2 linked regions of the Struthio camelus genome follow. The protein of the gene in region 2 interacts with the protein of the main gene of each other region in a pairwise test. Links are inferred from orthologs where the notes say so. Each region holds a gene or a part of one and is shown on either strand. Other genes may lie near its edges.

Region 1 (10,644 bases), on a different chromosome or scaffold from region 2:
CGCTCGCAGCTCTGCCCGGGCGCCGGCCCCGCTGCAGCACCCTGCGCAGCCCCTGTGGGAGAGGCAGGGGGGTGCCGGGGGGCAGCGGGGTAAGCCCGGAGACGGGTCTTCCCCTTCGCCCTCCTGCCCCCGCGCCGGGCAGCCGTGCCCGCCGCCCGCCCGGGGCTCTGCCCGCACCCGGGTGCCTCCCTCGCCGTTTCCGCCTGCGGGCGACGGCAGCAGTTCTGCACCCTATCACCCACGTTTCGTCTACGTGGAGGTATTTTTAGTATGTCACACCCTCGTTGAAGAGGCCCTGGGCAGAGAGCGCAGGCTCTGCCCCGGGCTCATTTGGCCAGAGAAACTAAACAACAGCCCGAACCCACATTGTGTGTCTTTATCTGCAGCTCATTTCCACCTATTATGCAGCAGCGAGCAGCTCCGTGGCCTCCGCGGGGTTTATCTGCAGGGGAGCCGGGGCGGGGGGCGAGAGGCCCCGGCGGCGGCCGGGAGCCCGGGCCGAGCCACCCGGTGCTGCAGGCTGGGCCGCGGGGAGGGCGTTAGTGCCGCGATGCTCGTGCTTTCCGCTCCCGCCAGAGCGGGCCGCAGCCCCCGGCTTCCCGCTCCCGGGGCCCGTGCCCGACCCTCCCCACCATGCACCACAAATCATCCTTTTACTTCATTCGGTTTTATTTAGCAAGATGTAACATTCTGTATCTGTTGGTGGGAATACAAAACAGCGCTGGGGAGCAACGCCCCCATCCCGCACTGGCCTCGCCAGGCTTCGCAGGGCCCGCGGGAAACACGCGGAGCAGGTTCCCGCAGCACCCGGCTGCTGCAGGGCCCCGCTGGCCCTTCCCCGATCACAGCTTCGGGGACCGGGGAAGTCGGGGCAACCGCTCACAGCGGCTGCCGGTTCTTGCCGCCCCGGCCAGCGCCTTGCCCCACAGCAGGAGACGACTTGTGCAAAGTAATAAAAACCATAACCCCCTCGAACCAGCAATTGCTAGGCTAATTCCTCCCCCAAAACAGCAGGGCTCAAGGGGCTGGGGGCCTGGGCCGTGGCTGGGCACAGCCCTCTGCCTTACCCAGGGCCCCGATGCCCGTCGCATGACTGCACCTTTAAGGCAGAAAAACTTCATAGTCAGGCCAGCAGGTTAAAAATAACTTAGAGACACACATTGCATGGGAAAGGGCGCAGGGACAGGACGCGGGGGGGCTCACACTCCCAGGGCCGTGGAGCCGGCAGCCCTGCAGAGATCGGGGTCGCCAGGGCTGACCTGGCTCCGGCTGCCTCAGTTTCCCCAACATGGAGCCAGCACCACAGCTGACCCTCTCCTCATTGCTGGCAGCAGGGCATCCCTGCCACAAACACCATGCTGGCCACAATGGCATTAACTTGCTGCCAGGGGTCACAGAAATAGGGTACGGCTGGTGACCAGGACCCGCTACACAGTGCTCCCCCCAGCCACAGGCAGCCCGGCCCCGCAGCCGTCCGGCTCTCGAGGCTGGACCAGCTCCGTGGGGCTGCGGAGGCCAGAGGCAAACCACTTCCCAGAGCTCGTCCTCCCAGAGGAGCCTCCGACACAGCCCGCAAAAGCTTCTCTGTGGTTTCCTTGTTTACAGTATATATAGAAAAAAAAGAAGAGAAAAAAGACTCTGCCCTCCGGGGACCAGAGGCGCTCAGCCGAGTTCGTGAAGGATCAGGTCCCAAAGCGTCTCGCTCTGCCGGAGGAGCGGGCGGCTGCCCCAAGAGGCTCTGCCGGCAGCGCCGCGGTACGTCCTCGTGGGGCGCAGCCCCGTCGGTGCCCACGCCGTGCCCCCCAGCAGCACGGCGCCCCGGCACAGGGCAGGCAGCGTCGCCGCGGCTGGCACCTTTGCGAGTGGGAGGGATGGAGAAAGGTCCCCCTCGCCCGCCGCCGCCGGCACCCGGCGCTAGACATACTGCTTTTTAGAGGCCGAGCTGCTGGGGCGGCTGCACTGCTTCTCATCGGGAGCCAGGGCTTCAGCAGCCCTCACGGCGTAGGGGTCTGATAGGGGCCTGCTGCCGCTGCTCATGGCCAGGTTCTCCTCGTTGTTGAAGTTGGCCCAGTTCTGCTCACTGGAGAGCTTGTTGTAGGCCTGGTAGGGCGGCGTATGGCTCTCGCCCATGGGGAGGAAGGGGTAGTGCTTGGGTGGGTAGGGGCCAGAGACCACATTGTCAGCGAAGGTGTCCTGGCCTGGGCTGGTCGGCACCGACACTTTCTTGATGTTGCTAAGCAGGTTCTTGCAGCAGAGGTGGAAGAGCTCCAGGAGGTTCAGGATTAAGGAGATCAGGCCCATCACCAGCATGAAGATGATGAAGATGCTCTTCTCAGTGGGGCGGGAGATGAAGCAATCCACCTGATGAGGGCAGGGGTCCCTCTTGCACACATAACGGGGCAACATGGAAAAGCCATAGAGGTACCACTGGCCAATGAGGAAGCCAGCCTCAAAGATGCTCTTGCAGATCACACTAATGATGTACGTCCACATCAGGGCTCCTCGGATCTTGAGCCGCCCATCCTCTGTCACATAGATCTTGGACATCTTCTTCTCCACCACTGCCAGGGCCTGCTCTATCTTGGGGTCCTTGCTATGGATGGCCCGAAGCTCACTTTCCTGCTGCTTCAGTTTCTCCTCCTGCCGGGAGAGATAGACAACGTGGCCGAGGTAAATCAAAGTGGGAGTGCTGACAAAAAGGAACTGGAGCACCCAGTAGCGGATGTGGGAGATGGGGAAGGCTTTGTCATAGCAGACGTTGGTGCAGCCCGGCTGCTTGGTGTTGCACACAAAATCCGACTGCTCGTCCCCCCACACGGACTCCCCGGCCAAGCCGAGGATGAGGATGCGGAAGATGAAGAGCACCGTCAGCCAGATCTTCCCGATCACGGTGGAGTGCTCCTGGACTTGGTCCAGCAGTTTCTCCAGGAAACCCCAGTCACCCATCTTCTAGGGAGCTTCACGTCTCTGGCAGCAGGGAAGAGTGGAAATGAGAGAAGTTAGTCCTCTGTTTCCCTGCCAAGGGGCACAGGGCAGATGGGGCTGGCTAACCTGCAAACTTTCTTGGGACACAGCTGCTCAAAGAGTGTCCCAGCCCAGAGTGAACCCACTGAGGAGCATCCCAGGTGGCACACACTTGGCAAGCAGGAGTCCCCAGTGTGGGGGGACCACCCTTCTGGGCTCCCTCCCACAGCACAGGGTGAGGGGCGTCTGCAGCGACAGCCCGCAGGACAGTCCCGCTCACAGCCCAGGCCTCAGGCACCCAGGGAGCCACCACCCAGCAGCAGCACCTAGCCAGCAGCACCCGCGGCTCGTAGCCGTCCCAGGGCACGGCCCCCAGCGAGGGGCTTGCTGGCCAGCCATTATGGCACGTAGCTAGTTTGGGGCAGCCCTTGGGTGCAGGAGCAGCTCAAACCTACTTCACCACCAGCCCTTTGCAGCAGCTCCACCAGGGGCAGAGAGCAGCAGGGTCGTGGGGAGAGGGAGCCCAAAAAGCACCAACCCTTGGGACCCATCAGCCACCCCGACCTCGGCTAGGGCAGCCCCAGCTCCCGTCCAGCGGCACAGGGGCAGCAGCCAGCCCGGGAGCAGCCTGGAGTGCCCCCGTCACGCCGGCTGCGTGGCCCCTGTGTCCACCAGCCCCACTCACCGCGGAGGGACCAGCACAGCGCGCGGCTCCCGGCACCCCTCGGCGTCACCCCTGCCTGCCGCCGAGCCTTTCCTGCATCTCCCCCTGCGAGTGCAAGCCCTGCAAGCCAGCTGGGAGAGAGGAAGCAGGCACAGCCCTGACTCCTAATTAACCCCTGCCAATTAAGCAACCAGAGGTGCCAGCTGGCTTGTTAAAGGGACATCCAGCAGCGGAGGGATGAGGCAAGTGCCCAAAGCAGAAAGTCGGAGCAAGTGGTGAAGGGTGACCCCACGTCCCGAAGCAGAAAGCAGGCGCCCACCGCAACAAGTACCCGGCACCAGGACAGATGCCACTGGGGAGGGCGCAGGAGCACCCGCGTCTCCGTCCGGCCCGCTGCCAGCAGCTGGGTGCCCAGGGTGCCGCGGCCGGTGCCCGGCGCCGCTCACTCACCTCTGCAGCACGGGCGGGCGCTGCGGAGCGAGCGCCCGGTGCCGGGCACGTCCAGCCTGCGTCTGGTGCTGCGCAGGATGTGAGCAGCCGGGGCCTGGGAGGCTCTGGCCACGGAGGGGACCCAGGGGAGCCCGCGGAGGAGGAGCGCAGGCAGGAAACCCAGGGACCAGGGCTTAAAGCAACAGCCGAGCTGCAGGTGTGCGGGGAGCTGGGCCCAGGGGCCTCCTCGCTTTCCCTCTGGCCTTTCGGGAAGCCCGGCCCCCCCCCGGCGCCGTGCAGGGAGGGGAAAGGGGTGGCGGGTCCGGAGAGAGCCGCCCGGCCGGGATCCCCCCCCATGTCTGACAGCGAGTGACGGATGGGGCCAGCGCAGCCTGGAAATAGAAAGCGGAAGAAAACAAGTTAGTCGGGACTGAAATAATAATAATCAGCCCAGATGGGAGGCCCCTGGGAGCCAAAACCATCACAGGGCAGGGCTGCGGGATGGACCGAGCCGGGCGGGCGGACGGGTGGCAGTGTGCTGCCCAGTGGCGACGTCGCGCTGTCCCGGCGGCCCCGGCACAGGGGGACGAAGGATCTGTGGCCGCATCGGGGACAGCGTCTCAGCAAGGGGCTGTGGCCTGCCAGCGTCGCGGGGGCTGAGCCCCGCATCCCGGCGCGCCAGTGGCCACGAGCCATGCCCAAGGCGGATGCAGCCCCAGCCCTGCTCCAGGCACCGGGACAGGGCGAATGGCCCAGGGACATGTGGCCAGCAGCTGGATTTCCCTGGATTTCCCTGCTGGCTCGTGCCTTGGAGCCCTGCGAGCTGCAGGCAGAGCGCGGCTCGCGGTGCGGCCCGTGCCAGCAGCCGTCCTCTGGGGAGGGGGAAGAGCCTCCTCGCGCTCTCTTCCGCCAGCTGAGGCTCTCCCACCAGGCTAAACCGGCACAGCAGCGAGGGGTCCTGTTCCCAGGGTGCCCAGATGTGCTGCAGCTGGGATGGGACTGCCAGCAAGTTGCCCCAGCTGGGAGCCCCAAAAGTTGCAGGGTTTAAGTGTCAGCATCACGTGGGACGTGCGGGAGGTACCAGCCGAGCTCGGTCGCAGCCCCCGGGCAGCTGGCCCGACGCAGCAGAGGATGCTCTGTGCCCGGCATGGTTGGGGCCTGCCGGTGTCCGGGCCGCCGGACTCGCTTTCCTGGTGCCGTGCTGTCGGCGCGGTGGCGTGCGGTGCACCGGGCACTGGGTGGTGCTGGAGCCACGCTGCAGCCCCGAGCCCCGGTGCAGGGCTGCCCCGGGAGGCCTCGAAAACACAGCCCCAAGCCTGACACACTGAGCTGATGAGATGAGCTTAATTAAGCATGCACGGGCTGTAACACACTGTCCAACTTTAGGCTCAGCTCTGCTGTGGGGGAAATGGATGGCTGCTGTCCCGTCCCAGGCGCTGCAGGGTTTGGGGCGGGTGTGTGCAAAGGCACTGAGCACGGGGACCTGAGCGAGGCTTGGCAGCAGCGGCCCTGCTTCAGGAAGGCAGTTCGGGTGGATGCTGATATTTTATGCACAGGCTGAAGCAGGGCAAAGAGCCCCACGTGCATCCACCCTCACTGTCCCGCTGCGCTTGGCACAGCCAGGATTTGGGGTTGGGCAAGCAGGGAAGAAAGTGGGCCAGTCCACGCGCATGGCAGGAAGCCACTGGTTCTCCAACACCAAGATGTGGCATTTCCTCCTCCAAGACAGTGCTGGGGCTGAGCAGTGGGTGGAGCAGGAAAAGCACCATTATATTTAATATAAAATAATTGCACCCTATGTGCTGCTCTATCCAAAATACCAGGGTGCCGCAGAGGCGGGAGCACGTTTCCCACGGCGAACCACTTCCCGCTCCCGACCGCCTGCAGTTGACAGCCGAGGCATTGCTCCATAGCCAAGGAGCAAACGGAGCAGCCCTCGCCTGCTGATGCTCCTGCTTCCACCTTGCTTTACCCGCCGAGAGGCCGTGCCCAGTGCGCGGGTGCCTGTGCGGGTGCCCGACGTCTTCGCGCCTGGCCCGCGGGCAGGGTGCTGCCGCGGAGTGGGGAAGCACGGCCAGGCGGGAGCTGGAAACCCCGGCTGACCAGAGCGCCAGCAGACCCTTTGCATTGAGCTGTTTAAGGAGAGATTAAATGGAAATCATTGCTATTTATTGTAATATTTATCAAGGTTTAGTAAATAATTGATGCTGATCCCTCTTTGATTTCCTCAGGGGCCAGCACGCGGTTGCAGTGAATTAAAGCTCAACGGTGCGTGACGAGCCGGGAGAACGCCGCGCCGGAGGCAGGCACCCAGCAGGCTGGATTCAGGGAGAGCTTCACCTGCACCAGCCCCAGTTGGGACGGGAGCGCTCGGGACCTGGCCACCTTCCTGGCTGCTACAGACTCCCGGGAAACCTCAGCAAATTCATTTCTTCCTGCCTAGCCATTTCCCTTCTCCCTGCTCCATGTGCCCTCGCCGTTCCCCTCCCTGGACTCACAGCACACAGAGCAGATCTCAGCATCTACAAACAACATAACATTTATTGGCCTTTTGGTTTACATAGCTAATGACATTGCTGAAACATCCATCCGAGGCGAGGAAGGGATGCAAAGACCCCGGTTCGGAGGGAAGCAGAGGAGCCTGCAGCAGGGGGACATCAGCGTGGCGCTTGCATGAGCAAAGAGGGGAAACCTGCTTCTGCCCCAGGACTGGCAAATCGCCCCAAATGGGCAGTTTGCAGCGACCCTCATCGGTGATTGCTCTGGGTTCGCTGACATCTTGCAGCACCGCTCTGGCAGCACGAAGGACCCGCAGCAGCTCCACCTCTGCCTGCAGCAGGACGAGGGCTCTGACCGAGGAGCTGGCATTCAGGCACAGCATCTGGGCATCGACGTGGTCCCTAAAGCGTGCTGCACCGTGGCAGTGGCCAGTGGTGATCGCAGGCCTTACCTGCGTCCGCTCGGATGCCCCTCTGCCCTTTCTCAGGGGCCTTTAGTTTGTTGGGCTTAGTCAATTCTGGTACGGGTCGAATGGCTCGGGCACTTCGCAGCTCATGGGTCAAGGGGCAGGGTCTCTGAGTCGGGCCGGGCCGGGCCGGGTGGGAGATCACATCTCCTCTCCTCTGTGGAAAGAACAGACACCCTCAGGCACGCTGCTGCCCGCGCCGAGCGGGCCCTCGCTAGCGGCACACCCGAGGACGTGCCCACCGTCCCGTCGTCCCTGCAGCGTTATTCCACAGAAAGCCTAGACCTCGACTCTCAGCTCTTTGGGAAGGTCCTGGTTGGGCGGAGGGACCAGGAGCCCCTTGCTCGGTCCCCATACGACTGTGCATCCTGTCTCCAGCAGAGCCCGTGAGGTTACTGGCCCTGAATTATGTGCTGCAAAAAGGGAGCAGGGACAAACAGCACCTAACAGAGACTGTGGAGGTTGTAGTCTCTCCAGCAAGTTCACATCCGTCATTTCTCCCATGGCATAAGGGCACCCACGGTTCTCCCCCCTCCTCTCCGAGCTCTCCGAGCGCAGAGGAGAGACGCACCCAGCTACGGGACTGCTTGCTGTGGCGTGGCAGCTTGCAGCAAAATGAAGAGCACGAGCTCCTGGATTCAGAGATGCTCTTTGGCTGCAAACTCCTGTAGCACGCACACAAAGAGGGGCTGTCACACACAACCTCCCTGCGAGGACCCTGTCCCTCCCTTGTCGCCCTAACAAGCCTGGGCAGAGGTATCCCCACGAGGTACATTCGGTTGGTAGCACCAAGTAGGAGAGTTCCCGTGGATGTGCTCTCCCTCCCCTTTATAGCCATCAAGGTCCCGGCTGAAGAGTCTGGTGGTGGCATTGCAGATGGGGTCACTGTCCCTGGCACTTGCCAGGGCATTTTTCCCTCCCCCTCCCCCTTCCACAACCCTGTCAGATCAAAGTCAAGTTGGGAGCCGAGGCCCTCAGGGCTGCCACAGACCTATTCTGGGACTTGTTTTCCTTCTCCTCCAGCTTGAGGTGGCATCGGCAGGTGGAGGCCTTGCTGTAGCTGACAGAGCGCTTGGTGGACTTCTTCCATTTCCGCGCAGTCCGTACAACCCGCTTGAAGATGAGGTAGAAGATCTCACAGACAGTGAGGACAATGCAGATGGAGGAGGCCCCGACCATGAAATAGGTGAAGACCCTCTTCTCGGTCGGCCGAGCGATGTAGCAGTCTACAGTGTTGGGGCAAGGGTCCACATTGGCGCACTTGACGAGCCGTGGCAGGTCGAAGCTGTCCCACATCTTGTGGAGGAGGTAGAGGAACAGTATCTCTATGATAAGCTTGAAGAAGAGGCTGAGCAGGTAGGTCCACCACAGCCCGCCGTGCTTCTTGCCTGTGTTGCTGTAGAGCTTGGGGCAATTCTCCCCGTTCTTCTCACGGTTCTTCTTCTCACGGTCTTCTCGGTAGGCCACGTGCATGATGACCAGGAGGGAAGGACAAGTGACAAAGATGAGTTGCAGGGCCCAGAGGCGTATGTGGGAGATGGGAAAGAAGTGGTCGTAGCAGACATTGGTGCATCCTGGCTGGCGTGTGTTGCAGTCAAAGTCCTTCTGCTCATCCCCCCACACGCGCTCGGCTGCCACCACATAGACCAGCACGCGGAAGACAAAGACCACTGAGAGCCAGATGCGGCCAAAGGCCGTGGAGTACTTGTTGACCCCGCTGAGCAGTGCCTGCAGCGTTTTCCAATCCATGGTGGGCGGCGCTGGCAGGGGCCAGAGTCATCCAACCTGGATGAAGAGCAAGAGAAACAGAAGGTGAAGAGATGCAGTGGGAAATAACTGGCCAGTTCATCTCTCCCTGCATTTCAGCAGGGTCAGGGCTCTCTCAGGCTCCTTAACCTCCCTAACTCTCTTGCCCCACTCTGCACTCCTTTGGGTGGAGGAGGACCCATCCCGTGCACGTACAATAAAATGTGGGCTGAATGGTGGCACTGCTGGGTCCTGTGCTGACTCACATTGACATTTAGGAGTGACTCAACCGCTTTGCTCTTCCTTCTCATAGAGGCTTTTTGGTAAGTGATAAGGAACCAGGAGGAGTTCCTGCCAACCTCAATCCAGGTCTGATTGCGTAGGTTGATATAAATTGGCAGCGAATCCCCTGCAATGGGCCAGGATAAACAAGAAGAGGCCGTGCCCTGAGAGTCAGATGGGGCCAGCTATGTGGGAAGGTTAATACTTCAGCAAAGCAAGGGCTTGTGCGAAAACAGCCCCGTGTCCTGGCGGGCCCATGGGGAGGGGGCTGACGGTGACCGCAGCACATTTCCATCCAGAGCAGAGATCCCCCCCCTCCTTTTGGGGCCTGGAGAGACCCATGCAGAAGTGCCTTTTGGGGATGGATGGGGACCTTTCCCATCAGGGAAGTACTGCCTTTCCTGGGGGAGCTCCAGGATCCCTGCCTGCTCTCCCATCGCCAGCCCAGCGGGGCCCTGGCCTCCCTGAGCTTTGGTTTCCACATGAGTAAAATGAGCTTAAATTGGCTGCTGCGCCCAAAGGCGAAGCGGAGCTGCAGAGCGGGGGATGAGGAGACCACGCCAGGGACCAGTTTTCTCAGTCGCAAGGTGACGCCTGAGGGGAACCCGAGCGAGAGCGGAGCTGCCGAAGGCGAGAGTCTGTGCGTGGCGCCGGCGGACAGGCGCAGGGCTTGAAAGCGCCGCCGAGAGTTGTTAGGTCCCGATGGCGGGAGCTTTACTGCTGCCAGTGAAGCAACAGGCGGAAAGAAGACGGCTGGATTTAGAAATCCCCGGTTGCTTTTTTTGCCCAGGGATGAGTTAGCAACAATTGTCTTTGTGGTTGTAAATGCGTCTCCGGTGATGGAGGGCTGCTCAAGAAAACCTGGCTCGGGTACGTCCCCGTGCTGTTAACTTTTATGAAGATGCTCCGAATAACATTTAGTCTTGTGCTGGTAGGAGACCAAAAGCCACTGCGCCTGGAAGCTCGAGAAGGATTTGCACCATGTGCGAGGTTTGGATGGGCAATCAGAGGGAAACTCCTTGCGATCCTGGAGCGAGTAAGGAGGGGCAAGGCCTGCAAGGATACCGAGGAGCGCTGGAAAGGCTCAGAAGTGGTGTTTTTTTGCATTTTATTTGCATTTGCAAGAAAAGTTCAGTTTCATGAACAACTGTAAAATTTTGCTTATCTTTGTTCAAAGTCTAGGGACAATTTGAGTTTAAAATGCCTCACTTTCTTCAGTAATGGTCCAATTTTCAAGCAAACATTGCAATGTTTTTGAGGTTTTAGCTGGAAAAAGTGCTATTTTAAGCTTGCAAACCAAGCTCATGTTTCTAGGGCAAACTGGCCACTTTGCCAAGTAAAAGAAATGGCCACCCCGGGGCTGCGGGACAAAACTGCAAATGCATCATTGCCAACCCTGCAAGTAGAAACGAGACGCTGTATTTCCCAAATATCGCTGCTGTGAGCAACGACAGGGAGCAAGCCGAAGCCCTGCCTGCGCATCCGTCGCAGATCGCAGGGCGTCTGCACCACTCATGCAGAAGGAATGCGCCCACGGCGTGGAAATGCCGCAGGAGGCAGCAAAGCCGCCTCCGACTCACCCAGCAGGTTCAGG
Region 2 (11,018 bases):
GGTGCATTAGGCAGAGTGTTGCCAGCAGGTCGAGGGAGGTGATCCTCCCCCTCTCCTCAGCCCTGGTGAGGCCTCACCTCGAGTCCTGTGTCCAATTCTGGGCTCCCCAGTACAAGAGAGACATGGCACTCCTGGAGAGAGTCCAGCGGAGGGCTACCAAGATGATTAGAGGGCTGGAGCTTTCTTCCTCTCCTAGGAAGAAAGACTGCAAGAGCTGGGCCTGTTGAGCCTGGAGAAGAGAAGACTGAGAGGAGATCTCATCAATGTGTGGGTGTCGAGAGGATGAGGCCAGCCTCTTCTCCGTGGTGCCCAGCAACAGGACAAGAGGCAATGGGCAGAAACTGAAACACAGGAAGTTCCATCTGAATCTGAGGAAAAACTTCTCTCCTGTGAGGGTGCCTGAGCCCTGGAACAGGTTGCCCAGAGAGGCTGTGGAGTCTCCTTCCCTGGAGATATTCAAAACCTGCCTGAACACGACCCTGTGCAATGTGCTCTAGAGGACCCTGCTTGAGCAGGGGGGTTGGACTAGATGATCTCCAGAGGTCCCTTCCAACCTAAATGATTCTGTGATTCTGTGACTCTGTGATCTTATCACAGTTCATCACAAACACTAATGAATTTACCTAGTAGCCTTTTAGGAGGTCCAAGTCCACACCCCCAATACACTTCACACTTGTTAGAAAAACACAAAAGCAACCATTCACGACCACTGTGATGAAAAACCTCAAAGATATATTTTATTTTTCACAAGTACAAAAAAGCTCAAAGACCCTGGAATCAAAAGCACTTCTGTTCACTTAATTGATTCAGTATATGTCGCCATGCACTTTACTCTTACCTGCAAAGAGTCACTGTCCCAGCTTACCAAGTAGAAATAGGTGACGAGGGTCACTAAGACAGAAGTCATGCAGATGACCGAGACTGCTTTTTTGATGTGATGGAAGAAAAAGCTGAAAACAGAAACCTCTACTTTCCACAAAGATAACTGACTGGAGACCAACACCCTGGATGAGCTATTAATACATGATTATTATCCATATGCAAGAAAATCAGGCAAGAATTTCAGTATCAAAATTCTTAAAGTCTTCAATTAATTTTAGGGATCGAAACTGTAATGAGCATGTACATACTCCTAGAGCTCCAGAATTCACAGTGGCATTCTAGGACACCCAGCTGCCGCTCTAGAATCTCTTCCTTCAGCAAATCTGTCCCCACCTGGCTAGCACAGAACACAAATTACTCAATAACTCCAAACGTACTGCTGTACATGATGCACACATAAATTTAACGGCAGGACTCAGGATAACCCTTACCCTCCCAAGTCAGCATCTGGTTCCCTCACAACGAAACATCTGTAACAAGGAAGGAAAAGCCCTGCTACATCAAAGCAATGATCTACCTTGCATCTAATATCTTGTCTCTGACACTGACTTGTAGTAGACATCTAAATTGAGCTGGCTTCACATTTAACTCCATGAGCACGTATCCATCTCCTCTTTACTGTAGCACACCACTGTCCTACCCTAGCCCCGCATATCCTGGATATTTCCTCTCACTGCTGCCTCCCTCCTAGCAACCGTGCCATACTCTGGCCTCTGTGTTCCTTCTCGTTAGTCATCACTTAACAATTACTCTTACCTCCTCTTCTGCAGCTAGCTCTCTGGTTTCTGCTGACAAAACTTTCATCATCTCTAAAGAAGAGGAGCTGATTCTTCAAAAGAAGAGCAATGCTAAACATTTTTATAAATCCTGAAAAAAAAGTGGAAAAAAAAGTGCTGAACTCTACAATTCAGATGATGAGTATTTCTCATCATCTGAACTCTGTAGTCTAAGTTATGCATCCAGGTCTCAGGACTGTGTAGCATCATTATATAAAAATCATATTTAAAGTTCCTACAGTTTGAACACCGGAGATTTTAATTATTTTTGGAGAGAAATACATTGTTTGCTTAAAACACTGGACTGAAATTAAGGAGACTGAGAAATGCTAATATCAATTAGCATCACTTTGGGTAAAAGAATAAATGAAGAAACACAACACAGAGAGATTATGACCTGTGTTACATAAAATATCAGACAGTATGACCAGAATGGTCCTTTCTGGCCACTGAAACTATAAATTAATTAAGAACTTTGCCTGAAAATTCTTAAATAACATTTTCAACACAACACTTTCCTTACATTGCACAGTGAGCACCACAGACTAGTCTGACATAGTAAGAAGATATAAGATCTCATTTTCTTATTGCCCAAGACCTTATGAAATTATTTTTTTAACACGGTAGAATTCTACACTCATCTTGTACAGGCGTAAGTTAAGGCCACACGTCGTCTGTTCTAAACGTGCACAAGTCTGCTCTGCCCAAACCCAGCCAAAACAAGAGTCGTGCAGCCTGTTCATATGGTATGTATGACTTAAAGTGCGCATCTTTGCAATACTGCTACCAAAACACTATCACTATATCGCCTTGAGGATGTCCTTCAGGAGAAAAAAGGAGGATCTGTCTTTGATGGGGTTCACAACCAGTTGAGGACTATGGCGGAAAATGGCTGTGGGATTACTGAGATCCCATCCTCCTTGCCCACTCTTGTGTAATGTCTCCCACTCCTTCTGCTCAGGACAGACAGACCTTGCATGGCTTTTGCTCTTGCACTTTGCTTGGAGAAGGAAAACTTCCACCAGCAAGCCTGATGGAGAGCACAGCCTGCTCCCAAACCCCTTCCTTCCCTGCTGCTGGAAGAAATGAGGTGCACCACCATAGGATAGAGATCACCTTTACAGAGTGCCAAGCTGCTACACCCTGTCTCTCAGCTCTGTTTTTTACTTTGGCTTTAAGTGAGGTGCATGGTTTCCATTTAGCTTAGGAATCCCAAAGAGACTGTGGAAGTGAACCTGCTTCACGAAACTCTGGTGTCACTGTGGATATATATAACTGTACCAGAGCAACTTCACCGACCAATACTCCCAGGACAGTCTTTAGGATACTATTTTCACTGTAGAATTTTGTTCAAGTTTTGACTCTTTCTCTGCCCATCCATTTTTAGTTACAGCTAAACAGGAACTTGCCAAGCAAAAATCTGATTTAACATGAAAGCTGTGATTCTGACACCAACCTGATGTTGGAGCTTCCCTTTAAGAAATAAGCAAACGACACCACTGCAGCAAGCATATCTTCACAGTCATATCCATACCAGGGTAAAACTAGAGTTCACTTAATACCCCTGTGTTTAACAGAGGTCTCAGCACAGACTTCAATTTTGCCAGGAGCATACTGGTAATCTCTGGGCTCTCTCATAGGTTTTCAGTCATGTACAGTCTCAAAGCCATGTCTTTCCCTTTTCTGTGTGCACTGTGCTACTACCCACAGGAAGGAAATACAGGTCTACAACTCCATAAGTACTTTTTCAGCAGAGTGTTGACTATCCAGACCTTCATTATCTGAATTTATTTGAAGAAATGGTCTCATGTATTATTATATTGAAAATGTCCTTCACCATCTGAAACCGTTACTGTTAAGATTTATTTCATATTGCCTATGTCCTTGAGAAATAACACTTGTAATAGCTTTGTGATGAGCATTTAACTATGTTTCTTTCCTTTACCTTTGAAATTTTGTCTAATGAGGCCTATCTTAAACAGGCTCAGCTCCCAGGGCTTGCTGCCAATCCTCTTTACAGTTCAAGTTTTCATCTGCATCTGCCAAGAGGTTGATTTAATCAGATGTATTAATTTTTCAGTCTTAAATGTTATAGTCTTGTATATAACACTAGACTAGAACACCCGGGCATCTGTTTTTAAGACTTTTTTAAGATATGCATTTTTAGACAACAGAGGCCCTTCTGACAGCCAGGATGATTGAAATATAATACAAATACGGGCATATGGGCTGTAATATAGGATTCAGACAGGACATCCCAGCAGCCTTGGGTTTTGTTACCCATCTTCTATCCCTCACACAGCCAGGAATAGGTGTACACATCCAAAGATACCACTGTTACAAATTGTGAGGCTTACATGAAAATCTTCTGATGACTTTGGTGGAAGAAAGGGGAAGTGCAGAGAGAGGCTCCTGCACTATGCACATACTCAAAAATACAAGTGTTTGAGAATGGCCCATTAAAGCCTTGTGCCTCCTGCTCTGTGTATGACTATGCTATACTTCATAAGGCGATAAAGAGGCAGTGATTTTGAGCATGTGAAATCTCCGAGTTCTTGCTTTCATTTCCACTCTCTCACAGATTTTTCCAGAGAGAATATAAGTCCTGTTCTAAAGCTCCTCTTTTTTTTTTTTAATATGACGTTAAATGTCTCTCTCATCAAAAGGATGCTCAGAATACTCTCTGTGGCCATGAAGCTATACATGTTATCTACAAAAAGCACCCATTAACAGCTTTAATTGATCTTCCTCCTCTATTCCATTACATCTCTGACAACACCTGACAATATAAGACTTTAAAAAAGGAATAGCCGTTACCCAGATCTATGGCCCTCTCCCACTCCAATGGCATCCTTTTCCCTTTTCCTCGCTTTCCTCCCCATGGCTAATGATCACACTTAGGAAGAGCATGTGGTCTACCTCTACTAGCATTACCTGCTCTAATCGACTTTAGCTGCCATTGCCTGTATCATGGAAGCGCAGGAACAACTCTGACTAAAACGTCTGTCCTTTTGCATCTCTCTGGTATGGTGCAACTCGCCTCCTCTTCTCCATTTTTGCCATTACACTCTTGAAGTAGCTGGAGGTGCTATGCACAGGGCAAGCAGATGCACTAAGCGTGAGTCCGCAATGAAGCAGGAGGAGCAATCACTCCCACTCTGTCACCTTCTTCCCCAGTTGGAGATTTTTTTCTCCCTTACCAAGGATCTCCTTTGATTTCATTGATGAGACAGTAGAAGAGCTTGGTTCTACTAATCAATGAAGAACCTGCAAGCAGTCAAGCAACTGAGCAACAAACTGAGCACAAAAATGTGCCGATGCAAATAAGGAGCGTGCAAGGCGAACATACTGCACAATACATGTCCCCAGCCTTCCAGTTTCGATACTTTTTTTGTGTCTTCCTATCTGATAACAATCACACCAATGTCTATGGGAGAGGATCCTTGGAGCAGTGAAGCACCAGGTCCTCTGAAAATTCTGAGGATTGGTGATATCCAAGTCATTTCTAAAGCACAATTCTGGTCACAATCCCCTCCCAGCGTGGTGCTGTACGGTTCACCACATTTTATTACTAGGCTCAGCGCTCTCTCCTCCAAGCTATATAATCAGAGAGGGCGACGTTTTGTCAAGGCCCCTGACTCGCGATGCTAATAGCTGCACACTGATCGCCTCCCCTCCCCAGCGTGCAGCCCGTTAAGTCATTCTGCCCGGGTGCCGTCTCACTCGGGTTGGCCACCGGTGCTTTCGGGGCTCGGGAAGGGAGCACTGTAAGTGCTGTGCGGGCAGATCTGCCGGAGCGCCCCCGCTCCTCACGGCCCTCCAGAGGCGCCGCAGGAGCGCGCCGGGCTCCGCGCCAGCTGCCGGGGGCGGCGGGGCTCACCTCGGGCAGAGCCGAGCCCGCTCCTGCGGCGCCCTCGGCGGGCCGAGCCGACACCAGCAACGCCGGAGCCGCCCGCGCCGCGCCAGAAAGGGCAGTGGCGGGCGAAGCCCAGCCTCCGGCCCGCCCTCCCCGCGGCGGCCCCGGGCTCCTCCTCCCGGGCCCGCCCGCCGCACACACGTGCCGGCGCCCAGCGGCGGGGCGCGCCGTCGGGGCGGGCGGGCACCGCTGCTGCCGCCGCCGCCGCCGCCTGCCCGGCACCGCCCGCGCCGCCGCCACTCGGGCTCGCCGCGCCGGCCGCGAGGCTGGCGGCCCCGCCGCGCCATGGCCGTCGCCTACCTGCTGGGCAACGGCTCCGCGCCGCTCCTCGCCGGCGCCCTGGAGGCCCCCTTCGCCGCCAACGCCTCGGCCGCCGCCTGCCGCCCCGCCGCGCCGCCCTGCCCGGCCGCGCCGTCGGGCGCCTGGGGCAACGGCTCGGCGGCGGCGGGCTGGGACCGCTCCGAGCCCTGCGGCGGCGGCGGCGGCAACGGCAGCGCGGGCGGCGGCGGGCCCTGCGCGCCCGCGGCGGGCGGCCCCTCCGTGGTCACGGCCATCGCCATCATGGCCCTCTACTCCGTCGTCTGCGTGGTGGGGCTCTTCGGCAACTTCTTGGTCATGTATGTCATCATCCGGTGAGTCGGCTGCAGCGCCCCGGCCCCGCTGCCGTCGGGCGGGCGGGCGCGGAGCTGCCGCGCCCCCCGGGGCCTCTTCGGGGCAGGGGGGACGTGCGCAAGGGGCTGTGCCGGCGGGGCGTTGGGGCTCCTGCCCCGGCGCGGGGGAGGGAGGCTTTTGAGAAAGCTGCGGGGCGAGTGGCCGGGGAGAGCAGCTCTTCAGACGGGGCGGCGGCCGTGACGACCGGCCGGGCAGCGCGGCCCCTCAGCGCCGCTTGGCAGCCGGGGAGGTGCTGCCCCGGCCCCCGGGGGGACGCGGCTGCGGCTGGGAGCGCCGTGAGCGAGCAGCGGCGCGAACGTCACACCTGGCCGCCGAGGCAGGAGGGCGGCAGGAGTGACTGTAGCCACTACCCGTGAGCGTCTGGGTATAGACACTCGCGCACATCCCCGCGTCTTTCCCCTCACCTCTCCCAAACAAGCAAAATGCAGACAGCGTCACGGCTAAGTGCCTCTGTCTTCTGGATTTATAGCTCCCCGGCCTAAGGCGTTGAGATATAAATATATATATGTGTGTGTGTGTGTGTGTCTGTCTGTGTATACATGTGTGTAGACAGATAGATGTATATAAAAGGATCGCGCGCACTATAAGGAAATCAAGCTATCCGGCAGTGCTGCACCATTTCGCAGCTTTCCCGCGCCAGCCGCGGGCGGGGGGCGGCCGCCGCCGCGCAGCGCGCCCAGGTGTTGCCCAGGTCCCTCACATCTGTCTGTGGCTTCCACGCACGAGAAACCCCACAGCGGTAAATCGGGATCCTCTCGCGGAAGGCGAGTGGCGGCGAGATTAAACGGGCTCCTTTACCCGGCCGGGATGGGGGCGGGCCGCTTCGGTGGGGGAACATCGCCACCTCCCGGGGACCCGGCCCGGCACGGGGGCTCACCCAGCGCCTCTTTCCTTCCTGGCTCCTCGTGGTTTCAACATCTGGAGGGACGCGGAGAAGAGCAGCCAGGGAGCCGAGCGGAGCCCAGCGGGGCGCTGCTGGAGGGAGTGCCCTGGGGTGCGCCCATCCCCGCCGGGACAGCCCCAGGCCGCCCAGTTTCCCCAAGTTTTCAAAGCATCCTTCACTTTTTCCCTTCAAACTGTACATTTCCCAAGGAGTCAGGGTAATAGGGAACTCTAAAAACACACTGGGGCTAGCTAGGCTGACATTCACTGCAGTAGGGTAGCAGCCACATAGCCATCAGTCTCGGGTGCCACGGCTGCAGGGACCTCACAGGTGGAAGCTGAGGCTGGTGCCAGACATTGCTCGCAGGCCAGCAGCACCGGGGAGGCTTCAGGGCACGCTCGGCACTGGGAGCACTAGCTAGAGAAAAGAAAAATGCTCAAGGTAGGATGCTGCAGCACAGCAGAGATTGGTTCCTTCAGTGTGTAGCAGCATGTTGGGGAGGTCAAAACCAGCATGGCTTGTAGACCTAATGCGACTAGAGATTACATTACATGCATCAGTGGTTCAAACCGTAGCAATCCACAAACCTAGTGCTTAACTACATTTTAGAGGCTGTATTTTAAATATACAGCACTGGGAAGATCTGTACTGCTGTGTGGTTTTGGTCAGCCTGAGACACAGGCTATTTGCATGTTAAGATACAGCTGTAGAAATGCTTCTGAACAGGGGCATGATTACAATTGTCTGAGCAAGTGTTGTATGCATCCTTCTGCGAGAAAAAGCAGATGCACAATATAACAGAGCCAGGATGGTTGTCGACAGAGAAATATGCCTCAAGTTGTCCCTGGGATTATGTATATATACTGGATATAACCTGTGGTATGCTCATATTTCTTTTATTTATTAACTGAATTACGCTTGCACTGCAAAGTCAAATTGAACAAGGCACCTGCATTTAGATACCTGTTTAAAGAGAGCGTCTTCCCAAAGATTACAATCTAAAAACAAAAGTCAGAAGTAATAGGAGAAAACAAAAATGTGTTTTCATTTTACAGATGAAAGTACAAGAACATTAAATGGCTTCTTGAACACCATCCAGAAATTGTATGGCAAAGACAGACTGAATGCAGGTCTGCTGTGCTTTAACGGCAGGAGCAGCTTTCCATATGACAGAGTTGCTTCCCAATTAATATCATGCAGCTATTTACCAATTTGGAATGAAGAAGAACATACATGTTATGATTGAATAGGATCTGTGGTTTAAGTAACACAAAAATGCATTTCCTTTCTATGCTTCTCTGTAGGTTTAGTCTACCTCCACTACAGTAGGGAACTTTTTTATTTATTTCCTGCTGCAAGGTGTACTAAGATGCCAGTATTCCCAGTCATTCCCAGTTGATATGCATGATGCAAATGATGAGTGCATGTGCTCATATATCCTTGGATCCAGCGGAAGATAGGAGCAAACCTTTCACTGGACTGAATTTGACGTCATATAAAGCTCCTTTTCTTTTTTTTTCTTGCACCACACCTGCTCAGGAAGAGCTAAGTCTTGAAGTTTATGTTAAATTTGAGACAGATTGAGGGTACTAGAAATCAGATTTTAAAAGCAAGGATGGATACCTAATTTACCCTGGAAATGCTAGGAGTTGGGAGGCAGGTGCTTAAAAATCTGAAACACTGTCCCTTACTCACCTCTGTTAATCTAGCCCCAGTGAAAGCAACAGTGACTTCTTACCCAGTGCTGCATGTTGCCATTGCGCCATAATCTCAGCTTCTTTAGAAATATTTTTGGGGGAATAACTATTGCATTATTCCTATAAACAGATAAACTTGAAACTCCATCCAGTCATTTCAGCTTTTCCAGATGAGTCAGATCCATGAGTTTGGAGACAGAATTGTGCAAGTCCTTGTTGGACGTGGAACCCTCGTTTCCGATCCACAATGCTGCCATGTTATCCTTGCTGTAGGAAACAGAAGTCAAAAAGGGGACACGTCCAAAAAGGAGATAGAAATGTAATGTCATTATCTATATGAAAATGTAGATTCCACAAGTCCTTTGCCCCGTTTTCCCTTGGCCAGATTTCCAGTGTAAGGAGCAATGATTTTATATACATATTACTATATAATTAATGCAATCTCAACCACTCTTCTCTTTTTTCCCCAAATGGTGCCTTTCCTCCTTGAAAGAATATTTACAACATGATATATCTGCAATGTATGAAGTTGAACCCCATATTACCAACACTGAGCTGTTTCCTTCAGTGAGAATAAAAATAGTCCTTTAAGTGACAGCAGAAATAGTCAGGTTTTATTGCCATCCATGAACTTCCTACCATCTGAATAATCTGCAGATAATTTTTATTATCAGTTTTCCTCACGTATTTCATATAAATGTTAATTATTAATACAAACATAGTGTTGTTACACCTGTGTCAACAGCAAATGCTACTTCTAGCTGCTGCAGAGTATGACAGCACAGAGTACAATTAGTACCATGTGGTATGAATTAATTTTCACAATAATCTATAGGCTTTTCCTGCTCTCTAGTCAAGTCAATGGGATATTAGTCACAGATTAGAGTGGGACGAAGAGTATGCCCTGTGATTAAGGCAGTTTGCACAATGCTAGAAAGCTATAATAGAATTGTAGCTGAACATCTTCAGCATCGCATGTCTGGAAGAGTGGAATAGCTCTCTAAGGTCCCAGTCCTCCACAATGCTAAGTGCCATGAGATGACCGTAATTCAATCAATAGCCCTTAAAGTCATTCAAGTCAAGATTCATCCCTTAATTGCTTTGCTATTAATTTTGTCACGTATCATAAACAAAGGTGCCTGAGGTACTCTGTGATCCTTCACAAGAGGAAAGAAATGTCTTGTTTCATTGTAGTCAGTCATTACTCTGTTTTTTTTTTTAAAAAGCTTCCTGCTCCGAAACTAAAAGCTGTCTTTTTACATTTCTCAGAACAACCTCTGAATAATGTTTTGAAGGGACAAAGAGCTCTGATGAAAAAACACTCTCATCTGGAAAGATTGTACGATACAATAAAGCTCTGGTTACTTCAGCCCTGTTCTCATGCACCTTAGGAAAAGAGTGTTTTCCTAAGGAGGAGGGAATATGGGATGAAATTGCAATTATAAAAAGGATTGATATCTCAAGAGGAATAAATATTCTCACATATGTGCAAATAAAGGGAAAAGTAAGGGATTTGGAAAGAGGTTACAATATAAGAAGTGGAGAGAATCTATTTAGGGAAATAAACTGAAAAAGATCCAAATATTGAAAAGGGTTTAAGTGAAGGAAGTTTTTCAGAAGCTCTTCTTTACAGGCCGACATGGAGTTGTGGATGCAATGTGAAAGAAGGCCCCCAGCATGCTTTGTAACACCGTCGATCGGGAAATCTAGAGACCAAGAAACGGATAAAATGCATTCCTTTCTTTCCTGTCCACAGCCACATGAACCTCTTTGCATTTGGATGGCATTGCATGTGCTAATGGGTGGCCTGCCTATTCAGCAGGCTGCAAGGAAAAATTTCAGTGTTCTTGATAAGAGCAGTTAACTAAAGCCACAGCAACCTTAACCTCAGCAACCTTAGCCTATAATGCCAATTTTTAATTTATACTGCTTCCCAATACAAGGCAGAGAAGATCTGGGGACAGAACTGGGAGAAAATATGAATGGGCAGGAACAGCAAAGCTAAATTAAATGAACAACGCAGAAAGTGACCCACACTGTCCTGCATTACAGAAAGGCAGGTGTCTCTATTTGCACACCTTTTGTGATAGAAATTTGCTCTGTGTAGTCTCTGCTAGTTGGCAAATGTTTGACTAGCGAGCTGCTCCTTTCCCTCCTCAAAGATCGAGGGAACCAGGCAGACAAAAGACGTC

The links.
Region 1: the proteins of OPRM1 (region 2) and GJA4 interact in binary tests that used the Homo sapiens proteins (3 or more experiments, as listed by UniProt). The link is inferred for Struthio camelus from reciprocal best matches to the Homo sapiens genes OPRM1 and GJA4.

Annotation. Positions count from the first base shown.
Region 1 is NC_090964.1:9,686,111-9,696,754, reverse strand, and holds GJA4 (gap junction alpha-4 protein), read right to left. Parts: upstream 4,346-10,644; 5' UTR 4,079-4,345; exon of another isoform or gene 3,650-4,078; intron 2,968-3,649; 5' UTR 2,947-2,967; coding exon 1,915-2,946; 3' UTR 655-1,914; downstream 1-654. Other genes in the region: GJB3 (gap junction beta-3 protein), read right to left, coding at 7,965-8,771. UniProt on the Homo sapiens protein: One gap junction consists of a cluster of closely packed pairs of transmembrane channels, the connexons, through which materials of low MW diffuse from one cell to a neighboring cell.
Region 2 is NC_090944.1:79,749,649-79,760,666, reverse strand, and holds the start of OPRM1 (mu-type opioid receptor), read left to right. Parts: upstream 1-5,859; coding exon 5,860-6,206; intron 6,207-7,911; exon of another isoform or gene 7,912-9,093; intron 9,094-11,018. UniProt on the Homo sapiens protein: Receptor for endogenous opioids such as beta-endorphin and endomorphin. Receptor for natural and synthetic opioids including morphine, heroin, DAMGO, fentanyl, etorphine, buprenorphin and methadone.